2 linked regions of the Struthio camelus genome follow. The protein of the gene in region 2 interacts with the protein of the main gene of each other region in a biochemical or structural test. Links are inferred from orthologs where the notes say so. Each region holds a gene or a part of one and is shown on either strand. Other genes may lie near its edges.

The links.
Region 1: the proteins of MBP (region 2) and TLK1 form a complex in vitro, tested with the Homo sapiens proteins (2 studies listed by BioGRID, with this or other methods). The link is inferred for Struthio camelus from reciprocal best matches to the Homo sapiens genes MBP and TLK1.

The regions. Positions count from the first base shown.
Region 1 is NC_090947.1:23,049,288-23,065,854, reverse strand, and holds the start of TLK1 (serine/threonine-protein kinase tousled-like 1), read right to left. Parts: upstream 8,860-16,567; 5' UTR 8,548-8,859; coding exon 8,388-8,547; intron 1-8,387. UniProt on the Homo sapiens protein: Rapidly and transiently inhibited by phosphorylation following the generation of DNA double-stranded breaks during S-phase. This is cell cycle checkpoint and ATM-pathway dependent and appears to regulate processes involved in chromatin assembly.
Region 2 is NC_090943.1:106,585,592-106,602,203, forward strand, and holds the start of MBP (myelin basic protein), read left to right. Parts: upstream 1-8,202; 5' UTR 8,203-8,217; coding exon 8,218-8,354; intron 8,355-16,612. UniProt on the Homo sapiens protein: The classic group of MBP isoforms (isoform 4-isoform 14) are with PLP the most abundant protein components of the myelin membrane in the CNS. They have a role in both its formation and stabilization.

The sequences.
Region 1 (16,567 bases), on a different chromosome or scaffold from region 2:
TTCAAAACTTCCAGTACATCAACTGTTAAAAATCTTTGGTAGAATAAAAGTTTTACCTTTCTAATAAAACTTCTAATAGAACTGTCAAAAACAGATCACTACCCATCAAGACTAAAGGATTCTACTTAGAAAGAAAGACTTCCAGCGTAATACCCACAAAATGTTTTCCTACTCAAAAAGCCATAACATTTGCAAAAGACAAAACCCTGAAGCTGCTCCATAGTTACTGTATTTTTCACCTCTAACCATATAGCAGATTTATTACGAGAACTGGTTTCATTACAATCTTTTATGTGCAAATATGGCCTTCACAATGATATCACTTTAAAAGATAAAACTTTAGACTCTAAGTTACCAGTGTCAACCAAAATATTCATTCTCCAGTCTAAATAAATAAAGATCCTTTCAGTTATAATTCTCTAAATATCAAGGTAAAAAAAAAAATAAAAGCACTAGTATTAAAGAGAGCACTAATAATGTGGGGATTTTATTTTCATTTGCTTTATAATGAAAATACCAATTTATCACAGGACATCTTCTCTCCCACCACTTTTATTAGGAATGAGGTGAAGAAATAAAAAGACAGCAATCTCCCTGAGGGCCCAAATAGCCAGAAAGAGGGTATTAGGGCGCAAGAAACCACTGAGAATTGGCTGAAGTATAGCTGCAAAAGTTAGGTCAAAGCTGTGGAACCACGGAGAAACCAGAATTAAGCAGAAAAAACAACACTTCGCAAACACAGCTAAGCAGCGTACGGGCCTGATTAGCGTAAGCCACAGGAGTGAACGCAACAAGCGTCAGAAATCCTGCTTGCAGCATCCCCTGCATCTGCCTCCCCAGAACCAAGAGCTTTTTGTGAGTTCTGTGGTAAGGACAAATGGGAAAGATGTCTGTTGTTAAAACCAGGTGATCCTAAGGGCATCAAAAATTCAACAAGGTGAATTCCAAGACCAAGATCTAAAGTAAGCTTTTTCAGATGTACACGGCCTATGAAAAGCAACCAAAATATTCACTTGTATGCTTAGCAATTTTCCACTAGGTTGCCCTTGCATATATAGTTCAGAACGTCTCTTTTAATAACTTATTTCAAGGCATGTATTAAGTATGCATATACTTTCTAGCCAAGACCAATAAATAATTCTCTATTACTTACAAAACAAAAAAATAACAAACCACCAGGAGCTACAGTTGCTGGACACAGTGCTTGAAGCACTGATATGCTTTGAGCTCAAAGTACAGTCAGAAAATTAGTAAATATCTAAAAGGTTAGCTGTATGTGACAGCACACAATGGAGGGCTCTTAAAGCACTAAGATTTCCTGTTATGCTTCAGAGAAGGAGAACAAATTTTTATTCTCCTACAGGTATAGCTGTAGAAGTCTAACGAAAAGAGAATCCAGCACTTGCAAATCTCCCAGTGACCCTGATCAGGCTTCATTTCCTCTAAAAGGCATTCTAGCATTTTGTTACCCTCATACTGATCTCTAAAGCACTAAAGGAGCGAGTGCTCTGTTCATAACGTCTTCATTAAGAAAGTATAATGCCCTTAAGTTTCCACCTAGCTAAAACTGTGCAGATATCATGATGAGACAAAATATATTCCTTACTGCTTCTGCTGCTACCTCCCAGCAAGTGGAGACAGTACCAAGGAATGTTCATCTTCTCCCATGACCTTCCTTTTGTCTCACACTGAAGCTCCAAAGGATGAAAATCCCTATTCTACCTCTACCAGATTCCCTTTGCAGTTTTGTAATCAACTAGCAGCCTCTAACTTTCACTCTCTGATTTTTTTGAGGACATCTGTGAGCCTCCAATGCTCATCAAACTCCTAAGCTAAAAAGATCTTTAATAGGGCAGATCATTTCTCTTGTTTGTGTTACCCTTCAGTGTTAAATGTTTAAGTTAAATTTCAAAGGATGACAATCTACAGTGAGATTTAAAGTTTATCTATTAAATTCATATGAGTGAAAAATACATTTGACCAATGTAAGTTTTAACGCCCTAATGACAGCGAAACTATCAAACAGACGGAAGTCCTGAGTAAGCAGCTGGAACCAGAGCTCTGAAGCACTAAACCAACTTTTGACAACATTTTTTTTTATTTTAGTTTGTTGCTCCACTAGTTCAAGTCAATAATGCATTCAGTTCAATTCAGTTCACTCAATGCTGACAGAATAACTGACAATTTAGAAAGCAGGAAAGTCTGATCTTCTTTTCCAAATGATGAACACGAAGGACTGGAGATTGGATTTATCTATTAATTCCAAGTCTTGAAAGGCACAGTGACCAGAAATAACTGACTCAGTTCACAAACTGCAGACAATTCTACTTCCGTAATCTGTTCTAAATGCAAAACATATTTGGATATATTTATTTCTTCTTATATATCTAGCACAATTAGGATTCATATTATTTAGCCAATAAAGTCAGCTAAAAGCTATCTATAAGATGGGGAATTATGTTTCTTAAACATTAAGAATCTAAGCTACATAGCTACTTAAATAAATGCATATAGATGCGTACCCTCCTGCCTCGCAAGAAATATGATCAAATTAGACCAATTAGAATCAACTTTTCTTTAGGAAAAATAATTAACCACAAATGCAAAATAAAATTAAAAACAATTATTTAATCAGGATTTCCTGCTCGCTGATTTAAGTCATGATTAAAATTAGCAATATAATCACTCTGATTTCAGTCAATTTTTCCAGCATAGACCCACCCACAAAGGCTCATAACAGCAGCCTTCCCCCCTTCACCAGTCTTCGGCATGTCCACCATCACTTAAACCGTTCAGCTCCTGCGTTGTGGGACCGTGTTTGAGTAAGCCCTGCTAAAGCTTGCAGGCACCCGTGGTCCCACCACCGACTGCATCCTCCCCAGGGACAGGCTGGGTGCCAGGATTTTTCTCCAGCCCATACCAGAGCTCTGCTCAGGAGCAAGTCCCCAGGACAGGCAGTGTCCGAGTGAGAAGCTGAGCCTTAGTTTCTCTCCTAAGCAGAGCATCTCAACAAGGGTTTGGCTCTGGGTAAGGGATACAGGATCCCGAAAACCCTTCATCCAGCTCACCACCCCTCCTCTGTTGTTAAATACTGAACGTGGAGTACCTGTCCCTTGCGATCTTTAATGACGCATTACAGGTTTTTGACTCACAAGCCCACCCTGGGAACTGGACTGTGTTTTGGAGGTCAGCTTCTGCAAGGAGCTTTTCTGGGTTTTGTTTAACTGTTATCCAGCAACTATAACACTACGCTCCATGGAACTATCCTTCAACGCTGCTCTTCTAAATAGAAAAGTTAATTACTTTTCTTCTCCTCCTCAACTTTTTTTTTCTTTCCACTTAGAGCAGTCCAGCAAACCAAATTTCCTTTTTCCTTTTTCACAGCTAAAACACACCAAACCAAACAAAAGAGAAGCTCATAAAGTGAGGCCAAAACTTTCTTTTTCCCTTTATATGCTTTTGTGTTGCAAGGGAGTTACAGTTCAAGAAATATTCCACTTCATAAACACACCTAGCTTACTAAATTTAAATTCGTTTACTTCTGCCAAAATTTCAGTGTGGAGGTAAGAAATCTAATATGGGGGTAATCTAGATTGGGAACAAATACTACTTCAAAACACTAAATTATATCAAGACGACAAAAAGTATAAAGGATTATTTAAACTTGAGTTATTTTCCATAATCTCTCATCCTTTCTTTAGGTAGCAAAATTCTACAGATCTAACTTTGACCATGACACACACACACACAAAATAGACTTTCCTAGGAGTGTTCAGAACAGTATTTTGCATGCAGTTAGAATTACTGAGCTCTAAGAAAATCCAAAGTAATGTCAACACTAACTGCAGAACTGTTATTACACTGAAACATGTTTACTTCAACTCAATGTTGAGAGGAAAAAAAAAAAAATCAAACAAGAAAAAAATTATAGAAAAAAGAGAAATAATATACCTGTTATTTGAATGGAGATAATAATAAATAAATGTAGACTGTCCTAAGAGATATTGATTCTCTTTCCATTTAAAATGGAATAAGTTAATGGGAAACCCCATTCTAGGCAGATTAAACCAGAATTAAAACAAAACAGTAATCCAAGTTTCATTTACTCAATTCTCTGCAGCGCTTGTCTTCTGGAAAACTAGATTCCAATAAGGATGGGCCTACACTTAAAAAAAAAAAAAAAAAGTCTTCTTTTCCCTTTTCTCATTTGGTCATACTATAACATCTCATACGAATTTGTCAAAAGCATCAGCTCACTCTAAGAAACACATGTGCAACAAAAACAGCAATATTACAAGCTGGAATCTGTGCATACCAGTGGAACAACAGTAAGCCTTACACAAAACCTGCTCACACTATAGTTGGCCTAAATAATCTTTTATGATTGCTATGTTCACTCTAAGTAAAAATACACTCTCATCTTTAACTGTGAACTGCTCCTATACTACTTTGCTCCCACGTAAACCATCCAAATCCAAAAAAATCCTCAGAGCTCTACATCTACAGTTAAATGATAAGAAACAACAATAAACAAAGTTGCTGGTTAAGAAAATAAGAGAGTTGAGTTTTTTGCCACAAGCAAACAACAGAGAAAAAAACAGAAGTTTTAATAAAATCAAGTAGCTTTCATGTTCATATACTACTATACTGCATGTAGCATGCATGACACAAATCTGCATGTAGAAGTATCTTCTAGATGGGAAACTTAAGGAAGAACCTGCACCTATAGGCTCAGATGGACAACTACCATTACATTTTAGGTAATAATAAATGAAAATGATAAATACATTTATCAAACTAGAAAAAAGATTCACCATCAAAATTTGCTACATCTGTAACATTAGTTCTTTAAACAGTGTTAAGTAACTGTCATGGGTTCATTTACCATGTTGTCATCATACATTAATTTGAGCTCTAATTCTAAATCTGAAATTCACATTCCTATCATAGTAGTTCAGAGCTGTATTTGGCACTTTGTTTTGCTTTTAGTAAAATGTTTAAAACCAACAGCATGCACACATAACAGCCTGCTAAGTATTACGCTTGACTATCGGACACCGTGGCACTGCTACCCTCCCCCCCCAGCCTCCAAAAAGAAGCAGTTCCAAGATATTCATACATGTATGCCCCAAAATCTCTTCTCTGTGCTTTGTCTAATAATAACCTGAACATCCCCAGGTTACAAAACAGCACCTTCTAACTATGTCCTTTGGTTATATTAGTTACACACATAAATCTGTCAAAAGCTAACAAACTTTGAACATGAAGTTGCAGGACGGCCTTCGATGAGCTACAGCACAAGGTTTATCTACCCACTCACATACTGCATCTAATGCTACATAACAGCTCTTCCCATATTCTTGATTGCACATTTTGTAGGGCTCTTGAGTAAATGACCAAGTATACCACACAAGTTATTTTCATATAAAATAACTGACACAACTACAGTATGTTATGCAAGAATATCTGAGGAGCTAGAAAAGTTGTAAGAGACCATATAAAATTCAAAACCAGTATGTGGTAACTTAGAAACGATACTGAAATGCAAACAAGAGATAGCTCGGGTGTAATAAAACTGTTCAGATACAATTGTACTTAAGTCCACTCCAATCTTTTTATTTTAAAACCCTAAAACAAAATTCCAGATCCATAGAGTTAAGCCACGGTACCCCAGAAGTATAGCTGTTAAGAATATAATTAAAAAAGTTAGTGCAATCTGTAGTGCATTTCAAAAAAGATGAATTCTTTTCTTCAATTTCACCCTGTATTGTCCAAATAGTTCCTTTTCAATACTGTCACGGAATTTTTTTTTTTTTTTAAAACAATTCTGGGTGACAGCTATAAACCAAAGCTTTTCTTTTTGCTTTCGCCAAATTAAGGCTTCAGAGAATATTTTTAGGACTTCCTAAATCAGGGTGCTGGGGGTTTATGTTCTTAATAACTGGAATCTTTAAAAGCTAGTGTGAGAAATGCGGCACATGCTAAACTTTCAAGATGAATCACGTGTAAGGCCGGCTAGACCACAGCACACATGACGCGCTCTGAAGGCCTGCGCGTTTGAAGGCAACACAGGCATAACTGCCACAGAAGTCAATGAACGGGATTTGAATCAACAAATCCAGTGGCAAAACTAGGCCACAAGCTCGACTCAGTGTCGAACGCATCGTATCTGGAAATACTACCTGCTCAAAAATGGTATAGGCATATAGACGTTAACGCAAACGCAGAAAACGCACAGAGTGTTTCTCTGATCTAACGTAGGCCTACATCCTTACGCACCACTTCAAACAAGCTAATAACCTCTGCTATCGTTACAAGGTCTTACAAGTTAAGAATCAGCGGGAGCGCAAACTCCTACAAACGCACTGCATTTCAAATATTTCAAACTTACTAGTTTAGCAGGGATCCGACATAATTCTTACACATATATAAGCCAATGTCTATGGACGTATTAACAGCATGTTTTTATTCTATGCTCTACTGCACAGATACTTTATCACAAAATATACCTACATAAGGGTGTGCTACTAACACTCCATAAGTATAAACGCAAAATATGAATACAAGCCTTGCTGAGAGCTTACACTGATTTTCAAACAGAACTGCCTCGTGAGATCATATAATTACCACAACACAAAAACACTACGCAAATACAGTAAATTACAATACCAAGCACATATCAGGGTTTTGTGATTGCTCTCTAACCTCTGAATCTATATGAACAATGTAAATTACAGTACGCAGAAAAATCAAACAGCTTAAGTCATAAGAAGGAAAAAAAATGTAAAAAACATCACCACCACTTTAAAAATTAATTTTACAAAAATGTTTTTCCATGCCTAAACAGACATACTCAAAGAGCACTGTTTAAAATAAAGAGATATGGAAGTTGTGCTGCAATAATCGTTTCATGCTTGTATGCCAGGTATTCAAAATGCATCCAAAAATACCTTTCATATTCCCTCTATATGAATATTATATTCACCCATATTCATAACAAACGTGGCAGTGAAGAAACCTACGCTCAATAAACTTAAACTATATATTTAGCTGGGGTTTTTTATTGGTGGTGGTGGGTTTTTTTGTTTGTTTGTTTTTTGTTTTTTAAGAGCTTCAGTTTTCAAGAGAACACGAGCACAAAATGCCTGCCACTTTACTCAGCATCTTTAACATACACCGTGATTTCTTTCCAGGTATTTTCTAGAGCATTTCATGCCAATCTACCCAGAGGAGCGTGTGCAAAAGTGACAAAGAGTGATACAACTCTGACAGCTACCGGCATGGAAAAATCAGAGGAACTGGTACTTCCTTACACATTTGCTGGATACTGAATCCTTGTTATCAAGTCCTTGTACTGCTTACCAACTGAAAAAGCTGCAAGACTGTAAATACAAAGACTCCCCAATCCCACTACTATTCCTATTTTAAGGTAGAAAGTTTCCTGCTTGGCCAACAATGTTTTGTACTTTAGCAGAAAAACTATATGGCATTCGTTAAACCGGGGCACACCAAGTAACACGATACGACTGTTCAGTATGCATGTATCTGTGCATAAAAGTTCTCCTCCACCACTGACTGACATTCAGCAAGTAGTTATTTCAGCTAACAGCACCGAGCAACCCACTAGCTGTATAACTGCTACATCTTGTGGCAATGCATTTCAATGCAAGGAGGAAAAACAGACAATAACTGAAACGGAATAATAAAAAAAAAAGGACTTGTTTGCTCATAACCTTCATACAGATATTCCCTGCAAACACCCACAACACCCTGCTCTCGCTGTCGGTGTAACACAAGAGGGGAGGAGCAGGGGAGGGAGGAGGAAAATATTATCATCTCAGACGTGATGGAGGAAAGGAGAAAGTTGCAGTCATTCCGCGGTGGCTGCACGGTGCCCTGTCACTCGCGGCTACGCGACCCACCGCTCTCCGGGGCGCCTTCCCGACAGCAACCAACGCCGCGGCGTCGCCCTCCTCCCCTGCCCTCCTCCATGATGCCAAAAGCACCCGACTCCTTCCAGCCGGCGGCGGCGCGGCGCCCGGCGCAGCCCGCGGGTCACCCGCGCCCGGCGGCCGCGGCGGGGCGCGAAACGCGCGAGCCGCCCGCCCGCCCGCCCGGCCCCGCCGCGCCGCGCCGCCCTCCGCCGCCCAACAACGAGCCGCTCCCGCTCCCGCTCCTCCCGCGCCGGGCCGGGCCGGGCCGGGCCGGGGTGCCGCCGCCGCCGCCGCCCGCCCCCGGCGCGGCTCGGCCGGGCCCGCGGGCTGACCCCGCGCCTCCCCCGCCGCCGCTGCCGCCGCCCGCCAGCCCGGGACCGGCCTCCGGCGGCGGCCGCCGGGCCCCTCCCCGAGGGCCGGGCCCCCCGCGCAGCCCCGCGGCGCGGCCGTTACCTTCCTTGGGCGGCTTGCCGGGCGGCGCGCCGGGGAGCTGGGAGGCCGCCGCCGCCGCCGAGGCCGCCGCCGAGCAGCCCTGCAGGCTCGGTGGGGACGTGGAGAGCCGGGACCAAGATGGCGGCCCCTCCAAACTTCCACTGCTACTTTGGACACTCATCAAGCTACTTTCCTGGAGCCCGGCAGCCGCCGGGGGCGGCGGGGGAGGCGGCGCGGCGGGGGGACACCCAGCGCCGCGCTCATGGCCGGGGGGCCGGCCCGACGGCGGCGAGAGGAGGCCGCCGGCGGCGAAAGGGCTCCGGAGGCAGGCGGGGCGCGGGAGAGACGGGGCGCGGGGCCGGCGCAACCTGCCCGCACCTCTGCACTGCGTCGCCGCCGAGCAGCCGCCTGTGTGCGAGGCGAGGCGAGGCTAACCTTCCCTTCCCTTCCCTTCCCTTCCCCGCCGCCGCCGCCGCTGCCGCCGGGGAGGGGAGGGGCGGGGCGGGGCGGGGAGGGCGCAGGCGGGGCGGGGAGGGGTCATGCGCAAACACGATCGCGAGCCGAGCCAGCGCCGCGCTCCGCCGGCGCCCGGCCCGGCCCGGCCCGCACCTGCCCCGGCCCCGGCCCCGGCCCCGGCCCCGGCCCCGGCCCCGGCCCCGGCCCCGGCCCCGGCCCCGGCCCCGGCCCCCGTGGCTGCTCCCCTCCTGCGGACCGCGGCCGGGCCGGGCCGGGCCGGGCCGGGCCGGGGCGGCGGAGCAGGCGGCCCCGAGGCCGCGGCGGTTTCCTGCTGCCGCGGCCCCGAGGCAGCCCGGGGCGCCGGGGCCGGCGCCGGGGCCGGGAGGGCGGCGGCGGCGGCCCCTCGCAGGCCGCGGGTGCGGGGTCACCCTTACGTGGGACCCCGCAGAACAACCCCCAGGTCAGGCTGCTGCTGTGAGCGCCTGGCAGCGGCGGCAGAGCTGAGCGTGTCAGTTCTCTGCACGCTTTAAATAAACGTTATTTTTACAGCTTTTCCCCTAGTGAGACTTATCTGGTGCCAGCTGCTGACGGGGGTCTGCTAGACTTCAAGTGTGTGTTTTTCTTTTCCGAACAGGACCGCGTGCCAGCAGAGGCCGGGGTCGGAGGGAAGCCGCGGTCTGCAGGGACGAGGCGTTACTTGGAGGCCGTAACCTGCCTTTGCACCACGCGTCCACTCTCACCGGAGGAGCTGAAACTCGGGGCAGGAGCCAGGCGCCGAGAACCACCACCTCTCGCAGATGTTTCTCTCTCAAAAGGGTCCCAGCGGTGCACCAGCCCCGGCCCTGCGTGTCATACAAAATGCACCCCTGTGCCTTAGAGATTGCTGATTTCATTTTGAAATCCGTTGAGTTAGACTAAAATGCAAGTAGAGCTGCATTTAAACCCAGTCTTCACTTGTTCATTCCCTAAAACTACCATAATCTTTTCTGGGAACACGAGATGCGTGGTAAAGTCAGTTCTAGAACAAAGCCTTTTAATTTATAAATGCAAGTTAAGGACCGCAATAGCTTTGATTATTTAGAAGAATCATGGCTTGCAGGTTTATGGTATTCTGCATACACAGATAACTATCTTCATCACCTAGGCATGGAAGTCATTTTGTAGTTGCTGTGTGGAGACATCCTGGCCATCTACCAACCCATTTTTCTTCTGAATTTTGAGAATGGCAGGAATAGACTACTGATGTTGGGTTGCAGAGCTGTACACAACATGGATATTACCCGTTCTTTCTCTTCCTTTCTAAGTGACATCTGTCAAATTATCTAAGATCTTCACCTCCCACAAGTATACAGCATAGCTGCAAGTTTCTTAGCAATTAGGTATTAACCTGAAGTAAAAATTAATATGTTTACTTGCTAACTAGATCTGTTACAGGACATATATTTAGTAACAGATAAACTTTTTTTTTTTTGGCAGAGAGACGTATTGTGATGTTTTGACCAAGACGTGTTTGTTTTTTAAGGGCTTGATCATAGAGAAGATTTTTCAGGCTTTACCTAAGCAAATTACACCAAGAAATTACTAGTAGTCAGACATGAAGTAAAGCAGTTACTAGTTCACTCTGTGAATATTAATGTGCAATATTCATATTTAGCAGCTGGTATCGAAACTTCTTGCGAGGTTAAAAATAAAACATACAATCCCACAATCCATACCCTAGCATAAGTGAACATGTTCCTCCTTTCCTGATGAGTATATCCTCCTGCAGCATACTGTTCTTAAAATATGCCAAGAAAGAAGCAATACGTTAAAGAAATTCAATGTCTCTGTTTATGCTCATTTGCATTCAGTTAAGACAAACCTCTGCTACCCTCACAAGAACATACATAAACAAGCTTTGTTTGTGCCACTTTGGCTTATACGTATGATACTGTTGTCTACAAGGTATTCCACTGAAATTGCTGGGACTCCTTGTTTAATAAAGTAACACTCACCATGACTAGGGGGGATAACACATGAAGAGAAAGATCATTTTCATTACTTCTTCTATCAGACATGCAGTTTCAATATTCTGAAAATTCTGAGATTTCTTGCAAACTGCCCTAAATTAACACTAAGAAAAATAATCAGATCTTGAAAACATCTCACATGGTGTATCAGAAGACTTATCACTGAGGGAACAGGAAGTGAACTTACCTGCACTGCAGGATTCCCCACTAGAGGGCTCATTAAACACTACAACTGCTAGTTGGCAGAAATGTGTATTTTTTGCAAAATCCAGTTTAGGGTCTAGGGGATCCTGGAGTTTCTCAGTCTACTTTTCATAATATAGCAGCAGAACCATATCTCTTGTTTCTGTGAGCTGTTGATGTAGTCTGAAGCAGAGTGTGAATTATATCCTGACTCCAGATGAGACAGTCTATTTAGCTTTTAGAATATGTGGAGCTGGTATGTTTCTCCTTCGTATTTCATAGAAAACCTACTTTTTAAATGTTTTAGAGCTGACACTGATTTACAGTATCCCTTCCTTTGTAGAGCTACATTGCTTCAGTATTATCAGTTTAATGGTATCACGGTGGGAGAGAAGAACAACTTCATTGATACCTTTTAGAAATTTTCACACGCATTCTAAAAGACTTACCTTATTATAGGACTTCATAAATGTGAATAATGCTTTTCAGAGGACTGACAATGTCCTGCCCTCATTTTGCACTAAAACTTTATGGTCCAGTAGCCAGATGGATAACCTCTTACTCACAGTGGTGGGCAATCAGCTCAGTGCTACCCCCACAAAATGTTAAAAACTAAATCCAATTCTCAAATAGTTCTGAAGAAGTATTTCTCACTCTTTTATCGTTTCTTTTAAATAGTAAATATTACATTTTTTTCTTTTGGCCTTCTAGTTTCCAGGAGCAGAACAGTCTGCTACCAAGATTTCCTGTGTAATCACCACATATCATCATCAGCCATAACTTGAGGTAATAGATACAGGGAAATCCCATTTCAGTGGAGTGGCACTGGATAATGAAGAAGGTGCCACATACAAGGGAAAACTTAATTCCAAGCTAAGTCTGAGAAAGCTCATTTAGTTTTGCTAACTGCTAAGGAAGAGGATCTCAAAATGCAAATCAGAACAGGAAGGAATAAAATGCCTATGTTCTATTTCTCACATTAGGGTATGTCAAATGCAAGTTATCAAAGGCTGATCACTGCACCAACCCTCAAATCAAGGATGCTTGAAGAACAGAAAAGGATTATGAAATTTCATTATTCTAAAGACAAAAAAAGCCAAATAACAAAAATTCTGAAATAAAATTGCGCAAGCTGTCAACTTTGCCAATGGAATTACTGTCTGAGTAACTCTTATCACAGTAAGTTCACAATCTACCCATAAATCTTTCAAAAAGTAAGAGAAATTAACTAGGAGATAGTGAAGGTAAGGGGTTTAAGGAAGGGACTGACAGGCTGCATAGGGAAAGTAAGTAAGACTACTGCAGGAGTTTTAGTCTCTAGAGACATTCACCTTGCATCTATAGAGGAAACAGTGCAGTCAAGTCAAATGTCATTTTCAAAACTTCTACATACATTCTTTACAGAACAAAGAGACATAATTTCAAACACTAAATATGATACAATCCAAAGTTTATCCTACATGTTCTTGAGGAAGAATATTCTATGTTCTTGGGACCAATTACAGAGGAATGTTTTTCCCTGTTCCTAGACCTTCACCTTCACTGCTCTCAAGTACTAAATAGAATTTGGTTTCCTCATGAGAAATAGTACTATTTTAACACCAGTCATACACATTCTTAATAGCTGGCTATGTCATATCTATCCTTTTCCCACCAAAATCAATTTGATCTTAGCTGGATTAAATTTTAGGCCAGCAGCAAATTCAGACACCAGAATATCTGAGGGTGGTGCCTGATCAGGTCATGTAGCAGATTATACGAGTAATGTCTGTTTACATATAGTTTCTAAATTAGAACATCTTTTACTTATACCAGTAATTAGAAGGGAGACCTCAAGTTCATAGGACAAACAGGAGAAGTAGGGATGGAAGAGGAACTTGACTGAGCAGGCTTGTACTTTTTCTAGGAATGCAAGTCAGGATTTCCAGAGTTATGATTAATGATAACATCACTGGAAAAGCTATATGCTTCAGAACTTAATTCAGTCTCTTGACTCAGCTAGAGTTCAGGGAAATGTCAGGGATCAGAGATCATTAGGGTCCTTCCTTTGGATGTTTTTGTGAGTTAGTTCTTTCACCTGCTTCTTTTGATTAAGAGTTGTATAATAAATCTGCCAATGGCATTGCATCTCTTCTTTATACCCTCTTATATCTTTACCCAGAAATATTCAATACGTAGCTTTCTTTCCTCTTCCTGGACTTGGAGCAAATTATCTTCTTTGACAGACAGCAGAGCACCCTGGCCTTGTTTCTGTCATATCTTTCTCAAACAAGCAATTATCTTCTGTAACCAATATTCAAGTTTTTTGATTTATCCCATCAATTATTTGTGGTGCCAGTGAAACAGGTTTCGTTTGTTAAGAAGACTTCAAATTCTTTCTGTTAATTCCCTGTCATCCCGGCACGTCTGGGTAACAGAGACGTCAGATGTGTGAGCGGGTTGCCTCATTTGTTTCTCTTTACTTCTCTGCAACCCTTTTGCAATTTTTCTGAGTACAGCCCTTTATGCTGTTACAAAGGTGCTTTATATCTACAGAGGTATTTCTTTAAGGGACAAACATACGCTATTCCAGTATGCTATGCTGATGTACCAGTATATCTGCCAGTGTAGACCAATTTTATATGTATGTATATGTATAAATGCATGTATACCCACACATATACACATGCACTCACATACCTCATATACAGAAGGACGTACACACACCCTATTACTATGCCCACACCAGCAGCCAAACTGTTCTAATTTCATGGGGGAAAAAATATTCTCCTGACTAAAACAGACAGAGTGGTACAGCAACTTGTATAGAAAATGCCTAAATCGTTTCATCATTAAAATGAAGTATTTTTGACAGTTCTAGCTTAGATTGAAAGTGGAGTTCTGGAAAAGTATAATTTAGGAAAAGAAAATACTGTTTCCTGTCCTGGGGAATGCTGGAAGTCTGTAGCTCCAACACTGTGTCCTTCCCATTCCTGATATAGCTGAGTGCCCGTGAGGACCCTCCCCTTATCACACCGGCACGCTCCTGTGCAGTCATGGCTAAACCACAGCTAGAATGTTCCAGGCTGTGCTCTGATGTTCAGAAGATGAAAAATGCAGATTTGGCATGAGTACAAAGTAAAACACCAAGTGACTTGTGACAGCAAACGCACTACTGTGATAGAACATTGTCCCAGATTGTTAATACCTTTTGCACCTGATTCTTACATTGGATTTCTGTTTATGAGCAAATAGGAATATTGTGCTAACCTTAATTTTTATGTTTAGTTAAAATTTTCTAAATCAGATTGAAAACAGTGATATTTTAATAGGGAAAAGTTATTCAGATCTTGATTAAATCAATTTTGAGGCACAATGAATTAGAGCTGTCTCCCTGAACCACATACTAAACTACATGCTTTATGGTTTTTTTTAATATAGGCAACTCTGAGTTAAAAGGTAAAAAAAAAAATATACATAAGTAATATACCAGCAGAAATATCTTCTCTACGTATACCAGCATATCAAGCTGAAGAGAAGCCAGAATGAAAAAATGGTATCACATTAAGCCTACTTTCAAGAAATAGACACAAGCAGCATGTAAGCAAAGACCTATTTTTATCATCTGTGTAATTGTCATAAACTGTATTTATCATCTACTTCTCATATCATCACCAGCAGTCAGATCCAGTGATCCACCTCTGCTATGATTACTTCTAGACCAAATCTCTAAGAAGCCTGCAGATGGCTTCCCTTCAAACCAAACACAACACAAAAATTAAACTCTTCTCTTCTTACCATAGAAATGTTCCTCTTAACTCCAGTCTCCCTGCTCTAACTACTATTAGCTATATTCCAGCCAGAAAAAGGACACTTTTACAATCCTTTCTTGTGTGTCATTTTAATAAAAAATAATTTGGTTTGGTTTTGTTTTTTCTAACTGATGAATACAGACTTCAAATTTTGGCCAAATAACATCAATGATAAGCCTGACAGATAATGAAATATTAGAGATTAAAATGACAGTACTATAATTTACAGATTCAGCTCCTCTGTCTCCTTCCGGATCTAGCTGAGCTGGTCTGCCACTTCTTTCAGGATGCCCCCTGTGCCAGGAGTAGGGGAACTCCTGTGCTCAGTCTGATCTGACAGCCACCTAGTCCAGTGTCCTGTCGCTGGTTCTGTCCAGAGATGTCATAACCCTCCAAGAAAAAGATAACAACCCCATAGTCAGCAGATTTGGGACAAGCTTTCTCCTACCCCCACCCCCACCCCCACCCCCACCCCACAAGGTCCTGGAAAACAATAGGGCAGGAGACAAGCTGCCCTGAAGATACCTGAAGGTACTGAAAACAACTTCTTATTTCAGATAGTTGAGGAGGTGATATGGGAAAATGCTATTCTACATATTATCTAGCTTAATCAGAAAGTACTAACTGATAAAATGAAGGAGGAAAGGAGGAATGTTTTATGTTTAACTGATCACAAAACAGTAAAAGTAATGATGCTAAAGAAGACAAGGAATAGCACAAAGAGATGGGACTTCAAAAAGCAGATTTTAGTTGGCTTGGGGAATGAATGGGTGGGTAGATCTTTTGGAAGAAATTCAGAAGGAAAAAGGAGCATAGGAGAGCTGACAGTTACTAAAAGAGGCATATTAAAGGCACAACAGCAGACTATCCTGATGCAAAGGAAACACGGAGAGAGAGCAATATGGCTTAATCAGGAGCTCTTTAACTACCTAAAAAACAAGGATGAATCACACCAAACAAGAACAGATGACTAAGGGCAAGTTTAAAGGAATAGTCACATGGGGATCAAATCAGGAAGGCTAAGAGACTAAATGAGCTAAACTAGGAAAAGACCTAAAAGCCAATAAAAGTTTATATTCATACAGACACACCAACCCACCCACCCACCCACACACAGAGCAGACCTAAGAGGGAGACAATGGAAGGCTCACATCCATTATCTAGCAGGAAAGATAGCAAGTAACAGATGTCACAGAGAAGACTAAAATATTCAATGCTCTTTTCTGCTTAATGTCTCTGCAAAAAAATCTTAAGATCAGATACGCAAAGCAATTACTTTTAACAAAGGTCAAGAAGCACAGGCCAGAAAAGGCAGGGAATGGGTTAAGTGATATTAAGACACGACGGACGGTTTCAGATCCTGTTGACTAGAACGTGTAGCTGAGATAAAGTATAGCAGTGGATAAAGCCTGCTCCCTTGCAGCCTTGCGTAGCCTCCTGCTCAGATTAGCCCAGAGTGAAAGCTCTGACTGAAATTTATATGGAATATTCATAACAAGGTTCTTCTGCATCAATTTTCCAGTGTCTAATATCATGGTTTCATTCAGACTGATTTCTTTCCTGCCATGGAAGACTGTCTATATACATGCTCATTTTCACAAAAACTGTAGAAATGTGATACCTTTGAGATCCCTACTATCCAGTCCAATGTGGCTGGAAAGTGACTAATAAGTTCAAAAGTTATTGTGCAGCCTGACAAGCAAGTATACAGTGTGATCACATAAATTGTATTTCCATCGGAAAACAGGCTAAAAATTACCCT
Region 2 (16,612 bases):
AATTACTTTAATGGTGCACTTGATTCCTCCCCACCCTTGAATCTGCACATGGATTATGCAACTTCAGTAACATTTCTAGTGTTATTTCAGTAGTTATTTGCAATGCAGAAGCACCTAGTCAGGGACTAGGACCTCACTATGACTATCGATCTGATGAATTAATTAAAAAAAAGTGAATGAATTAAAATCAGCATGTTACTCAAAATCACACGTTAGTTTGGCTAGTTATCATGACTCCCGACCTCTTTGTAATAAATCATTACTGACATCTACAAATATCTGACTTTTCTAATCAGCTCACTGTGTTTTTTCAGAGCATTGTAATTACATTCATCATCAGGGGTGAAGTTTGGAGAAAAAGCCTATGTTTTCATTCATACACAAGCTGAACATCAGCAAGTTGGACACAGGGAGCTATTTAAAATTAAAGCATTTTCTCCATGATCTATATTAGTCTGCTTATATTGATGTAATTATGATGTACCACTGCAACATAAAGACTTGCACTTTAAGTGCCACATTCACAGTTCAGCTATTCTGATTTAAATAAAAATACAAACCCTTTAATTTAACAGACTTCTTATGTTGAGGAAGTAGAGCAAAATTTGATCTTTATGATTGTTTTATTTAAGATTTTTTTTGTTTACTTTTTACAGCTATAAAAGGGATTTTGATATGAAGGTTATTAGTCAGAATGTCAGTCATAAGGTTTCTGAAATGTGTAATTTTGTGTGACCTATAATTTTAAGAGAAACAAAAATGTGTGCAAAATAACATTTTCCCAAGTGAAACATCTTCAAATTTCTGGGCTGCAGAACTTGTACGATCACATCTTTCTGAAAATTATAGTTAATTTGCATGAATTGTAGGTTTTTAGTGTCCGGCAGATCTCCTTAAAATGTCATGATTTCAATAATCCATTTATTTTAAATATATTATTCATGCAGAAAAATCCAAAATAAGCCATATTTCCCACAGGGTGGGAGGAAAAAGAGCACTCAGACTGGGGGATTTTGTAAGGCATATTTTTTGTAAGGCGTGTCTGCCATGCGCTGTAGAAATACCTGTTTAATTCATAGTGGAGTCTAGTTTGTTTTCTGTGTTAATTCAAAAAAAAAAAAAAAAAAAAAAGGTAACGCGCAAACAGTGGAGATGCATAGGCAACCTAAATCTTTTATTTTGCATCAGTCCTCTGTAAATTTTAGCACATACTAGTACTGATTCTAGTTCTTGCCCGTTTGTTATTTGTGCTGAAGTGGCATGAATCAGAGGGTTTTTATTAATATATGTAAGGGTAAGAGCCTGAGCACTTCGTTTAAGAGATTTCTGGTAATTTGATGCTTCTAACAAAACAGTTCAAGAATCATTAAAAAAGCATCATAAGACTACCTCAGGGATTTGAAGAATGGAATATTGTAAAACAAACTTTCAAGGTAAGAAGTGAAAACTTGCATAAATTCTTAGGAGATGACAGGATAGCACATCATGCAGTAACCTTGTTGATTGTTAATTGCATTATCTGTGTGTACAGCTTCGTAGCCTAGTGTGTGATTTCTGAATGTGGGACTTTTCCTTGCTGTTTGGAGGGCTTTGGGGTTTTTTTTAGTCTCTTCTTCTTAAGTACTTACTTGCATTAAGAGCCTTGGATTGAATGCCCTTACAGGTTTCTGCTTGTGGCTTTGGGGAGAGAGACATTTATCTAAGGTTTAAAACATATCCATATCTATTTCTGTCAATTTTTAAACTGCTTCACTATTCTACACATAAAACTCTTCAACTCTAAATCCTTAAGTAAAGGTTTGCTTTTACACTTACACCTTCTAATTAGCCTGGCAGTCAGCAAATTCGACTTTCATCAGAAAACGCAGAAGATAAATTCCAGGTCTGTGAAAATCCTTCACTGAAAATATCCTGCCATCAGTTCTACCTCAGCCTTTATATTTGATAGCCAGCATATCTCAGATGATCTCAGCTCTCAGGGGAACATGAGAATAGAGGCATTCTCTGAGTGCATGAGTGGTTAGAAAAACACTACGCTTAGTGATCAAATGAACAATCCCTTTGAGCTTTCGAGATAGTACCCCCTCTCACAGGGCATCGGAAAGCATTTCTTTAACGATTATGCAACAACAAAGCACAATAGCATCGCTGGTTGACATGGTTTCTTTTGGAGGAAAAAAAGTCCAAGTTTGTGTATTACCTTGTTGTTATGATCTCAAATGAAGCCACTTCAGCAGTGAAGGAAGGCAACCTAAACTGTTGTCAAATCCCTGATATCAATGAAATAGCCTTCAGCATAAATAAGCGTTTCAGATTTTTTTTTTCTTCATATTAACCCATAGTTTTTTGCAAGGTTGTCACCTGCCTGAGACTTGTTCCTTTCAGTCCTTGTTCTGGCCTTCCAGCTTTGTGTTACACAGTTTAAAAATCCTCCTGGAGTAAATAGGCTCTGTATTACCGACTGTTCTTTTTATATGCTCTAGGACATTTCTCCAAGCAGCTGTTCTTCCTGTTTACTACTACTTTTATTCCCAGTGTGTGACTGTCCTATTTGACTGCTGTTGTCTACTTTTACTTATCACTGGTCTTGTCCCTGCACTTTTCTCCCTGTGTTTTCTTCTCACCTACTGCTCCCTTTCCCCCTGCCTAAACTTTTGCTGCATTTGTATCTGTCCATCTGGTTGCTTCCTTCCTTTACTTCGTTACTCTCTTCCTCTCTTCACTTCATTACATATCTTCCTTTACTGCCAGGGGTCAGATCCATCTGTGCTGCTTTCTATCTCTTCCCCACATACAAACCCCTGACACTCTCTTCTAGCAAGCTTTTTGATTACTAAGGTGGATGTTGCTGCAACCATACTTCAGTATATCAGCCATTCCATCTCCCTTCTTACATCACTGGACATTGCGTAGAAGTCCATATGTCACGGATCAATTTTTAGGTTATTTAGATTTTTCTTCTTTGATTTTTAAAAACAAATAAGGAAGAGCCTTTTTCTTAATAAACCAAAAAGATGTGTCCTGCATGTGAGCTCCTGCAAGCCACATACCAGTGCTTGCACGGATTAATGCTGTTGAGATGACCTGGGTTAATAGTTGCTACTGTCACAAAGGAGGCTGAATGGAAAATAATATTGCAAAGGTGGTAAGACCTGTAAGAATTTAAAACTACACAAACCCCCTTCGTAAAACTCGCAATAGCCTTCTTCCTCCCACCATGGGGCTTCTTGGAACCATCGTGACTCTTCTCCTGTTGAAATAATTTCTAGTCAAGACTTGAGATGTCTTTCTGAAAGAACTTTTATTAAGTGGTTTTAGCAATACACAGCATCCCTGAAAAGCTGAATTTTAAAGAAAGCAGTACGGACTTACCATCTGTCTCCTCAACATGTTAACAGACCGTTTGGCCGACTTATGATGGTTGAGTGTGTGTATTCAAAGGGCGAAGGAATTAGTTAACCTGAGAACTTGAAAAAATATCAAGTAAATTAGTTCACTTTTGAATTTTTTTCTTTGAATACGAAAAATAATAGTAATGTCCAGATTTTATTATTTTGTGTGTACACACAAACACGTCTGTTTATTTTTATGATGCACAGGTGGTGCTCAGTACACAGTAGGATACGTATAAACATACATGTATTCTTTCTCATTCCTTTGGATGTTCATGCTTTCTAATCATCTTTGCTAGACAGAGGAATAATGGTGGAAGATCGTAAATTGCTTTGAATTAAAATAAAGATCAGGTGTGTACCTTTTTTGCTAGCTTGCTGGTACAGTGCCAACGCCTTATTAAACACTCAGAAGATGTGATAATCAAACACATTTTTTGTTGATCAAAACTACTAGTTCTCAGCCATTGTGTTGCACACTTTTAGGAAGACTAGGTGCTTATTAGGTTAGGGCCAGTACCTTCTACTGGCACTTGACAATGCTGGAAGAATAGGAGAACAGGGCAGACAACTGGATAGAGGATGACAAGTTATGTCCTAACCGTCCTATGACAAGTTACGATGTTCATACAAACAATGCACGGCCTTGGAGGTAGTACACTGAATGTCACACTTGTAAACTGGGTAAAAAAAAAAAAAAAAAAGCATTAGTATCTTTCTTTCTTCACTGAACAAAAGTCTGTTGAAGCAGTGTCTGGATGACCAAGAGACTAAAGAAATTCAGATTATCAATTTTGCTTGTTTAATTTTGAGCTTTGTAGGTAAGTGTCTAAAATAGAATGAGTCAAAGATTGCTTTTCATTTTAATGAATAATCTGTAGAGAATTCAGCTCTCTGTTTGAACAGACTCAGTTTTGCAACTATCTGTAGTTTTACAGGCCATTGGAATGGTCGTTAACTTAATATTGAAGTTCTTTGTGTTTGCTAGTTTTACAGGCTTTTTTTCCCTTTTTTTCCTGCTAATTAGTTTGATGCTGCCTGCTTGACTTCTCTGGACTGAGAAACATCTTTCTACTTCTGTATCTATACTATTTATATGTACTTTAGGTCTCTGGTCAATTTTTAGGAGAGGGAATGAATTTCAATCTCAGTCCTAGATTTCTAATATGACCTACTTATTATGGCTGGAATGTGTCCTCATTAGCTCCTACTGTTGATGCCTGTCCTTTGAGAGAATTTTTTGCTCTGCTAGTACTTCTAAAGCATCTTGTTTGTTGTCGATCCTTGTGCTCACACTAGTGCAGAAAAATCCAATAGCAGCTACTATCTGCATGGAGTCTATATAGTGTCCTGCTCTACTTCAGAATCACTCAGTGCTGTTAAATCTGGCAGAATCAGGTTGAGATGTGCTTGCATCTTCCTTTGTCTGAAAGTGATTTCTGTGTAGATTGAGACGTTTTTAGTCTGCACTCTAATGAGCCAGTCAGTTTAACAAGAACTTTGTTCCACTGCTAAAGGTTAAATGTTTCTTCATACTAGAGAAATTGTTGTGAATTTCCTGTGTTATTTCATTCTGCTTAAAATTAAAGTCTAGATTTTATTAAAGCAGAAGTTCTTGCAGTGGGAGGTCAGTAGTGTTGTGTGTGTAAAGATGAAAATTAAGCCCATTTTTATGTTGGAGGTGTATGATGTCAAGTATTTAAAACTGGTTTTGTGCTTAAGATACTTTTACACTTCGTTATTCCCTTTCTCCTGCCCTGTATATATTATATACATAAATAGGTATATATCTATTCACCATTCCAGTCTGTATTCTGAGGTGAGAAACCATCTTGCGGAGTTTGGCATTTTACTGTACTCTGGCCTGGATTACTCTGCCTAAATTTAAAGCTTTAATGTAAACCTCTGCATTACTTTAAAATAAAGATGTCTGTGTTAACGGTCTACTCCGGCAAGAACCATTCACATAGATAATACCATTGATGCTGTAGGACATTCTGCTAACATTCCCCTTCTTCCAGCTCATCCCAGTAAAGGAGACTGATGATTGACTTTGAGCTGTTCTTAATAAGGAAATCCACAGGTTGTTAAATTTATCATCGTTAGACTGCCAGAGGCTGGGGATGAGCGTTTATCACTTTGATAATTGATTTGATTTGATATTCTTTATATATTAAGTCATACATTCTGTTCTCTCCTTTCCGTCAACTGTCTATTTATTCAGCTTACAGGCCTTATGATACTGAATTTTCAGTTTTTGACTTGGAGAAGATTTAGAGTAAATAAGCGAGTTTTGCACTTTTGTTGATGAGTTTCACCAACCAACCATACACGGTGAGGAGGCCACCATGAGCTGTGCTTCATGATCCCTGCTGAGTTAAAGCCAAACACCTTTCACACTTCTCAACCTTGTTTTCTCCCAGTGGAGTAGATGATGACCAATAATGAGTCAAAACCCAGGTGGTTATTTAGGTGCCAATTCATCTTAAGTGTGTATTTCAACAAAAAGTTGCATAACTGTGATCCCAAGGAAGAATGGGGAGAGAGGTGAGAAAGTTGTGCTGGTTTTGATTATCTCGTGATGGGCATTTAACACAAGCATGTCCTGCTGCAAGACAGGGTCCTGCTGCAAGATTTTTCAGTATATAAATATGTAGTTTTAGTGTCTGACTCTACTGCTGATCTTTTTTTTTTCTTTAATATATTTTGAGTCCTCTGGTTGGTTAGTATCTTGCTTCAAATTTGAAGTTTAAGTAAAACAGATGAAAATATATGATAATTTAACAGCTTGCTACCCTACCTGTTAGAGCATGAAGCTGATACAATGCAAAAAGCACTGATTCAAAATTGGTAAGCAAGCAATTTCAATGTTGTGAGTGGGTTTCCTGAAAGACCCAAAGCAAATTTTTAATTATTCAGAAAAATTATCTTAAAAATCATAATCTGTATGTGGTGTAAGTAACTAAGAACATATAAACACAGAGGTGAGCTTTACAGACTCCTAGAGCATTTACGCTTTTGTAGCTCAATCTCAAAAACAGAATTGTAAATGGAAGGGCAAGACTAGAAAAATCTGAATCCTATGAGCATTAGCGATGAACGCTATGTTAATAACAGATTCTGGGAGCTCTGAGATGTGAAATAAAATTTGACATTTGCGAGTCTATGTAGGGTTTTTTTTGAAGGTCAAAGTGACTGATGCTAGACCATATATGAGCTCTAACCTGAAAGATGAAATTCTGACACCACTGAATATTTCCTTTTTTACTGGTAATAATGCCACTGGCTGTATGGTGTTTTGTAAGAACAATTCTTAGGACAGCCAGGTGGGATGGCTGCACAGACATATCCTCTGAGGCAGCAGCTGTCTGTAACATGGCATTTCACTTGGCTAGGTGCTCATTTGCTCTTTGCTGCTACGTTTTGAGCACACTGTAATCTGTTTGGAATGGCTGCTTAAGTTAGCAATAGTCCAAAAGCAGAACTTAACAGCATCTGCTTTTCTGCTGTTTACTGCCAACTCCTCCATACAATCCATTTCGAACAAAGCCTATTTTCACGATAGAGCAATTAGGCATTTGGCTTGTTTGTTTTTAATTTCTGTTTGACTTTATTGCCAGAACAACCTGGGGTACCGGTGACTATGCTGAAAGAGAAGTTTGCTTGCTAACAGTTATGGATGTTTGCCTTAAAAAAACACTTTGGTGAAGAGTCATACAAAAGTCATCTCCAGAGAAGGAGGAGTTTTAAGGCAATAACAACACAATTAAAAAAGAAAAATTAATTCATTTTTGGAGAAATCTCATTTTTTAGATTGCTCCAGATCATTGTTATACTGAAAGCAGGCACATAGCAGTTTGAAAGTAAAAAGATATGTTTTTGTTATGGCTGCATGGGGCAGGAAGAGAGGGGAGACAAAGGAATTGTACAAGTCTGGAGAATGTGATTCTGCTGGTAGGTAAATAGGGTGTCTCCTCCTTCTGCAGCTGCATCTTGGTCTGAAGTGCATGATATGCCTCTCTCGTGCTAACTGTGACTATGGGTGGAAAGCTTTAGCTACTTGGCTAATTCCTCTCTGACTACTCGTTTCTGACAGATACAATACCAGAGTGTTTACCTCCTAAACGGAATAGAAAAGTGGGCTGATCAAGCACATAACAAATGCGTTAATCGTTAATGCGGTTTATTCCTGTGCTTTGAAATTCTTGTTTTAGTGATTGATTTATTTTATATGCACACCATTAAAAACACAGAAGCGTTTCTTCCCTCTTTCAAATTTGAGGAATAACCAGATACAAAGGATCTCGCTAAACTGCGAGACCCCAAGAACCTCTTCCAAATTTGGGGGGGGGGGGGGGGGGGGAGAGACTTCTCCCTGAAGGTACGCGCACACAGTCTTTTCCCCCATGCCTTCCCAACCTGTATGTCCCCGTTTCACTGTCAGAGAAATCTGAATGTGCAGGCTGGATAATGAGGACTTTGGAGCATGCTTCCTGCCAAATTGTATGGGCACAGCTTCAGAATCCGAATATATCAAAAAAGGGGGGGGGAAAAAGTTTCTTTTTTTGCAGTTAGGTCATTAGCAGTATGGATAACATTACCTTCTCATTCTTTTGAAGGTTACAGCAATTATAGTTCTTGATCTCTTTACAGTTTGTGCAGAATAGATCTATGAAAGATTAAGACTGCTTGGAAAATACAACTGCTGTTTCCCAGCCGTGTATCAGCTTAGTTCTGAATTATGATAGTAAGTGATTCCTCTGCTGTATATGAAGCAAGTAGTCCCTGATATCTGCTTGATTAGAGGTGGAAAAGTTTCACTCTTATGCATTTTTTTTTTTTAAGACTTTTTACAAATCATAGAGGAGGTCTTCTGCAGAGGAGGAAAAGACACTGCTGTAGCTCGTTCTCTGGAATTGCTGGCATCACTGGCATCTCTCCAGTCAGCATTCAAGTGCGATGGTATTCACTGAGCGTTACTTCTTCAGAAGCAGAGCATCTTGCTCTGTTTCAGTTGATGTTACAAAACGTGAAAAGTCAGTCTCTTTGGATAAATTTCCTTTCTCCAGTCACTGAGCTTTTAACTGCGCTTCTTTTTGTTGTTTTGAATGCTTCTCTGAGTGCAATTGAAGGCATATTTGAACTAGATAGCTAGCCTTCTGCAGGCTTAATGCTGCTGGTATTGCTGAGTTATTAATGCTCATGTTCATGTAGATACTGTCACAGAGGCTGTGCTGTGCGTCCCTGCTGTGAGAAGCTTCACAGGCAGGAGCTAACTTGGTGCGCTGTTCAGGGCTGTGTTGCCTCTGTGTTGGGGTACCTCCACCCTCGCGTTTTGCTGATTTCTATGCTTTGACGCAGGGCTTGTTTGTTAAGGGAATTGCTTTTATTCAAGCAGCAGGTGGGCTGCGATTTGCTAATTACATCAAATTTGTGTACATGTGCGTGCAGAGTAGTGATAACAAAAGGCTCCTTACTTTATGCAACAAAACTACTAATGTCTGAGATCTCATGAGTCGATGTTGTTTTACAACTGTACAGATGCAATTTTTATTTTTTTTAACAGAATGGCTTAACAAACTTTGAGATTTGTGGTTGTTCTTATACATCTATCCAATTATGTTCTAATAACTGGGCTGGATGTCTTAGATCCCACCACTAGAATGAACACAAGGGACTTGTGATGACTAGAAAACCAATCAAAATAATAATAATGAAAAAAGAAAATCTGTACTGCAGTGCAAGAAAAACACTGGCTAAAGTTCATGCAGTTTTTCTACTGGTTAATGGTGATGATGATGGTAGGTAGCACTTGGGCAGCCCCTTACAACTTCAAAGGACTGCACAAATAATGCATTAGTTTAATGTAGAATACCCCCTCCAATCACTTCTACCATAACCAGGAGACTTGAAGCCTTTTATGAAGTGTAACAGACCTGTCAGTGAAGTGGAAAAAATGTAGCCAGCATGACTTCAACTTGCAATCATCTAGTCAAACTGTAACAAATAATAAATTAGGTTTGTATAAAAATATATATGTATTTGCCAAGATCGTGGTGTGGTACAGCCCCAAATCAAATTATCCTGTACCTTTTTCCCATGTTCTATGTGGAGTGCAACACACCACTTATCCTCTAATTCCTACTGATGGTATAATTTGACAATTATTGATTTCAACCAAGATGTGTCAGCTAGCTGCAAAGAATATGGCCCATAATTTTATTCTTTTCAGGCACACAGACAATATTTTCCTTGTCAGTGTAGAAAATCTCTCAGTTCAGAAATTGGGTGGATGTTCTTCTATTCCAAATATTAGGTGTCTCCTAATTTCTTTGTTGCTTGATGGGCTTGTCTTATTTAATGGCACAAAGAGAATTGTCAAGAGGAGGTGTGGGCAGGGAGGAGGGAGTGTGTTTCAGTAAATGCCTCTTTATGATACTTTCTGAAAGGCAAGCAGTCAGAGCTGTAGGCTTTTGCAATTGCAACTTTTTGTCCTAATTGTGAACTACTTAGGTTTTGTAAAAAGAAAATATCCTGTTTTGTTAGTCAGAATGCGGTTGCTTTCTCTTGCTTTCGATTCTTAGACAATACTACATCCCCAGTGGGCTGCTTTGCTGCCGTATGGGCTATGCTTAAGGGTCAACCCCTCCCGCAAAGGGCTTATATTTTATTTATGTAAGTAGGATAGTTCGTTATATGCTAGAGGCAATTCTGTGCAAGTTGACACTGCAGATGGAAACAGGACAGAATCCTGCATTTTCCTTATGCTCAGCAGATTGCGCACTGATTAGTTATCTTTCAGTAGCGTTTGAAGGCTAAAGATAATGAACTAGGACTCCAAAATAAATGCATTTACTTTCTGAGTTTTGATACGTGCAGACTGTCAGGGAGCAGCAGGAGTGACCTGCCCAGCAAGGGATGGCAGGAAGGGAACAAGGGTGACTGCGGGACAGGGACCTTGCCGAGGAGAGGCACACCCAAACGGTTACTGGGGTCAGCTGCTGCTGGGGGAACACCAGACTGGTCTGCAGTGGTGGGGGCAACTCAGCAGGGCCAGGTCAGAGCTAAGTGAGGCACCAGGCTGGGCATGGGTGGCCCTGTGGCGGCACAGGGGCAGGGAGCGGCCACAGGCCCCAGCTGAAACAGAGCTGCAGGCTGCTGGGCCCTGGAGGCGTCTCACAGTGCTCCCTCGCAACGGAGCTGCTTCCCAGCAGCCTCGTCCCAGGTTGCAGCTGCCCCGCGGCAGAGCTGACCCTCATCACGGGCAGCTAAACCCCTGCGGGGGCCGGGGAAAAAGGTCGCAGGGCCTGCTGCCCTCAGGAGCCTGGCAAAAATAGCTTCAGGCCATGATTTTTCAAACTATTCCTCACAAATACCAAAGCTAGAGTTTGATGCTTGTTGTTGTTGTGTCTTTTCTTCTGTGTATTTTTTTCTTTCTCCTCTGTCATTTTGCCATCGTCTCTTGATTTCCGGTAGTTCAGGTTTTCCATGGGGAGAAAATTGAGACGCTCAGTAAACACGAGCACAGATTTGGTGGTACATAGGCAATTTTTTTGCTACCTGCTCCAGTACACTGGGCTTCTCAAACCTGTGGCACCCCCCAGGCAAGCCGTGCTAGTCATCCGAGTTTCTCAGGGTAACTGAAGTCCGTGAGTCACTACTATGGGCTACCTACAGAACTGAGAAACTGAATCAAATTGCCAGAGCTTTATAAATAGGTTACTGGATTTTTTTAGCATTGACGTATTCTCAAAGGCTAGTAGATAACCTGCTGGGATAGCACAGACAAAAGCAAGGGAAAATGTAACACTCTGTGTAGGAAAGACTTCTTATTTTGCCAAATGGTCACAATTTATGGATACAGAAACGTTCATAAAGTATTTACCTGGGAAAAAACTGACCTTTTATTTTCAGAGGTAACATGAATACAGCCATTTTCTGTCTACAGAGCATTTTTGTACACATTCCTGAGCTGCCTGCGCGGCTTCCCAGAAGGTAGAAAAATGAAAGCTTCCTCCTGTGAAAATTGAGGCAAAAATAATTGTCTCTGTTTATTTCAGTAATGCCTGGAGGCTTGCACGGAGGCTCATGCTTTTGCACAGACAGACACGCGCACACGTCTCTTGGCACATGCGCGTGTTGTTTAGAACTACTGATTATTCAGTCCTTTGCAGGCTGCTCCACCTGAATAATTATCGTCTGAAAGCTGTGTGTGCAGGGTTAATGCAGCACCAAGGCCGTTGCAGGTTGAGCGGGGTCTGTGAGCTGCGAGTCAGCGTGGTGTGCTGCCTGCCACCACAGCCTCTCTGCTGGCCTGGAGTGTGTGCCGAACAAGCCCTGCCTGCAGGAGGCAGGCGAGGTGCCCCAGCTTCCCGGGGTTGCACATTTCCGTAGGGTACCTGGGAAAGCAGGGCACGTGCTTGGTTTGTCTGCGCACCCTACTCTGTGATACTCCTTCTAGGGGGGTTTAGTGAATCGCTGTTGGGCTCTTCCTGAGTTGTTCCGGAAGAGGTGGTTTTCCTCGTTCTTGTACTTCATGGGTGGATTAGGAGGAACATACCCAATTTGCACTTGGAAAAACGTGTACATAACACTTCTGGTCTGCAAAAATATTTCAGATAATTTGCAGCTCTGTCTAACTGTTTACCATTTCAGTCTTCAAAACTAAAATTTCTTTAGGTAGAATGTGTTTTTTTCCATTGCATAAAAAGTGACTTGTACAAACTCAAATAGCAAAAATAAATTAAAGTTTGTGGATTCTTTTCTTTTTTTTTTCTTTTTTTTTTTTAATAGCAGTAACTCCCACGAACTGGTACAAGGCTTGGTACTGTGCAAGCAGTTTTTCACTCTTAGAATGCTGCTACTGAAAAGCAGATATTGTGTAAAGTACCATCGATCACTGCCGCTGTTTTATACAGTTTGTCACCATTGTTCTTCGTATAGCATTGAGTCACATTTAGAACTATGGTACAGCTCACAAGTGTTCAGCAGGGGAAAAAAATGTTTTTTTTTTCGTTTTTAACTGTTTTTTGTAATCTTAGTCAATGATAGAAGATATGTCTAACATGGCCTCCTGTACATGAGAACAAGTTTAATTTATTTAGAAAAATATAATGTGGTTTGTAATGGTGAAGAGTGGGATGGAGCTTCTGAAGACTTTAGATAGCTGAGGTTAGATACTAAAATGCTAATGCAGAAATCTAAAAGGCTATTGTGACAGAAAGTTAGCTCAGAGGAAGGAATGCACTTTGACTGTGTTTACTTAAACAGCTTTGGGATTTCCCAATAATTTCCTGGATATTTCCTGACTAGGAGCATACTATATCTTACAACTTTAGCTAGCTAAAATCCAAGAGGAATACTAGATACATGTCTTCAGTTTCTGAAGACTTGCATAGTTTTTGATGGCTTTTTATCAAAGGAAGGCTGGTACTCCTACAGTGCCACAGCACTCTTTGGGCTCCCTGGATATGCTCCGAGGTGCCATTACCTTAGGGGTCTTCATCAGCTGAGAGTCTACTACAGGATTCGGGTTTTTCCTGAGGTTTGTTTTGTTTCTCCTAGTGTGACATTGATTTAAACAAACTGTTCCCCTGTGAATGTGCTGCAGTGATTCCACGGAGAATTGTGTTTTTCTTCAGTTTGACAGACTTTTCTGGCTGCAGTGATGGGGATGGTAGTTGACACTACCACCATTGCCTTTTACCACAGCAAAAGTGTTACTGCTTTTCTTCATGCTAAATATGCCTCAACTAGTTTTATTATGTGTATATACAACCCGAGGCTGGTCTCTGTGCATTCTGGGAAGTGGAAAGACAGGATTAAGACCTTAAAAAAAATGTTTATTTCAGAGATAACATAACTGAAAAAACTGGCAATTGAAAACTTTTTGAAATTCTTGGAGTTCGGAAAAGTGTCATTTTGCAGAAAGGGAGCAAAGCATACATGTAAGTTTTATTATTACAATTTTTATCTTAAAATTTACAGATTGATAGCAATTGTCAGCTTGCAGGAAGGAACTGGATCAACTAAATTGATTTTATTAAAGCAAGATTTCCTTATGTTTGCACTTACATTTGGGAATTCCGCAAATATAGATATTTGTGGAAGATTTTATTTTAGATGTGTTAGGCAAAACGATCATCAGATAAAAGAACGTAGGTAAATCTGCTGCTGTACTGAAGATCACTGAAGGATTAGCAGAAAGATTGGTTTGTGACAGCCTGTGGCATGTATTATAACCAAGCTGGTCTAGAGTATATTGGTAAGCATGACAAGAGATTGGACATTATCTATATGCGTGTGGAAAAAAGTTTGATATTGGGATAAAGTAAGGTTGTGCGGTGAAATGCAGGCATTATTTCTGCAAGCGGAGTTGACAACAGAAGACCTTGAAATGGGTAAAAATAGCATGGGAAGGCAAGTTGAGAGATGTAAAGAATTTTTATTTTTATGTGCCCTATTAGTATGCAAACAGTAAATATAAATGTACATATAAAAAGTCTGATATCCAAGTATGCTGTCCTTGCTGATAGTGTTTGCAGTGTAAAAGAGATCTGTTATACAATAGAGTTGCAATTATTTCTAACATAGGACAGTAGCTGACCTGTACTTAAAAAGTTAAAAGTAACAAACCCCTAGACGACCTCTGTGCTAAGTTCCCATTTTTCCTTTAATCTGCTATGGGGAAAAAAATTGAGGAGTTGTTGCCTGTGCTGTGTGCTGGAAGTTAATCCATGGAAAGAATCTACCGTAGGTCCACGCACCACCACTTGTCCAGTTTAGGCATGCAGCAGGACTTGGAGCTTGCCTACATTTTAATCTGCTTGCAGATGGCCACCTTATCAAGTGCTAGCTTCAGCTAATTGTCAAGATCTCTTCAGATTGAACCACTTATCTCACGACTTAGAGAAGCTGTACAATTTTCAGTTGGCCTAGAAAGCATGCCAAACAAGATGTCACAGCCACCTAAATTCCTCTGGAGAGGATGAGAAATGAGCTATTTCTTCTTGCAGTACAGAAAAGACAAATCAATCAATCTGCACTACCAACTGGTAGTGAAAGTTAAGAGTTGGTAAGAGAACTGTAGTTAGAGGGTGATCTGGCAGGTGCTCTTTTAGCAGAGTTGCAGAGTATTAGACACTGTAGAGGCCTGATGGGATGTTATTGGAAAACCTTATGTGAAATGACTCTAAAGGCTCTACTTAATGTGGAGAAAGGTTAATAATCCAGAGCAGAAGAAGGGTTTGAGAAACTGAAAAAGGCCACGGGGTATTTGTTTTCAGAGTGGTAACCTGTTGAATTTAGATATTTAATGGTAACTTCTAGTACCTAAGGTACACGTTATTTTTAAGCATTGGACAGCAAAAGTTAGAAGTGGTAGCATTTCAATCTGTAACTCTGTTCATTGAGTTAAAAGTGAATATTGTCTCGAGTTAAAAGTGAATATGAACTTGTACTAGCTATTGACAACTGTGACTGGAATTGAGCAGGTGGGCTTGGAACCATATTTGGTAGGTGAATTTGGAGTTTTGTCCAGAAGAAGTCTGCTAAAGCCTCCAGCAGTATGGTGAGGGATCGAGACTTTTTGTGTAGGTGAGTTTTGTGGAAGTGGGAAAGACTGCACGGCAGAGAGGTTTGGACAGCAACTTTCGGCCAGGAGCCTAGTGAAGAGGAGGTGGGAGGAAGGACGGGCAACTGATGATGGGGCAGAAGAGGGAGAGGCTGCTTGATACGGGAGAGCAGTCAGATGGCGTGATGAATCTGAAAAGCAAATACCGTACTGTCCTTCAAGGTGGGAAGACTTAAATCCAGGCACTTACCACTGTGGATTCTGTGATTCACCATTGATTCTACAGCATTTCCATGCTACCTTTTGCAATATGTTTCTTAGTTCCCTTGTAGATGCTGAGAATTGCTTGAAGGATAAACAAGTTCATTAGTATTCAGCTCTAAATGTTTGAGTTCGTGTTTCTCTTTAACCTTTTAGTCATCAAAAGAAATGCTCATCTCTCTCTTTCAGATATTTTTCTTTCAAATATTTCATTCCCAGCTGTCTGCCACTATTTTAGATTCTTTCTATGGAATAATTTCTCTGCTGTAAGACCCTGTGCCAATTCAGTCAGTTCGGGCTGTTTTAGTCCTTTGTATTCGTTGTTGCATTTGCTGGAACTTCCTGCTTGGTTTCCAGTATTCTTTATTCTGGTTTTAGGACTGCACTTGAGGCCAGTATAAAGAAGATACTGCCTGCTGTAAACCCTATGATAAATTCTGGAGATAGTGTTTCCTTCTAATATATCTTTTTTCCAGGTAGGCAGGCAATGAAATCTAGTATCAATTGCATGTATTAGAATTTTCTTCTGAAAAATGTTTCTGTGGATACCAACCTTTGTTACTGAGGAAATCTTAAATTTTTATACTGAACTAAAAAATGATAAGAAGGCTCTGAATAGTTTACTATTGTTGTATGATCCACACTGCCTTTAGTTTTTTACATTCACAGGTTATAAAAAATATGAAAGCCTTAAAACTTGTCTGGCTAATATTTTAACAATGCTCTCTGTTAATTATATATTTTACAGTATTTTCATACCCTCTGCTTATTCTGCTATAGCAGTTAAGTAAGCTCTGTCCCTAGATCTGTGCTGACATACTTCATTATGCAGCTTCCAAACAAAGCCATTTAGACAAGCAAGATAGAGCATGATGGCAAAAATCCTGTTCCCTCGCTTCACAGTAGTCAAAAGGATACCACGTCCTCGGGTGCTGTGCTCCGTGTTCTAATATCTGGAGAGAAATTCTTCAACTGTGAGACCAACCAACTGTGAGACCGGCAGCATCCTTGTCATAAATTCACTCAGGTTTGGGGGGTTTTGGTATGTGACTTTGGAAGCAGCACGTGCGATTTGTCTATCAACTGAGTAACCTGGTTTTTGTGTTTATCCTCAAAGTTCAGGAGGATCGTCTTGATGGTCGCCCTCTTGAAGCCCAATACTATTAATATATTTAAAGAATTTGTACTGAGTAAATATTGTCCAGGTGCCAAAAACTAAAAACTGAAACATTGAACATCCTTAAAGTAACACATCTGTGAAGTGTTTATTGTATTTTTAAAATTTGCGGTTAGCTGCTTATCTTTTAAGCAGAATGAGGTTTTTCAGGACTTAGCAGTAGCTGAGATTTGGCTGTGTTAATGGTAGAGAACTGCAGGAAAGCATGGG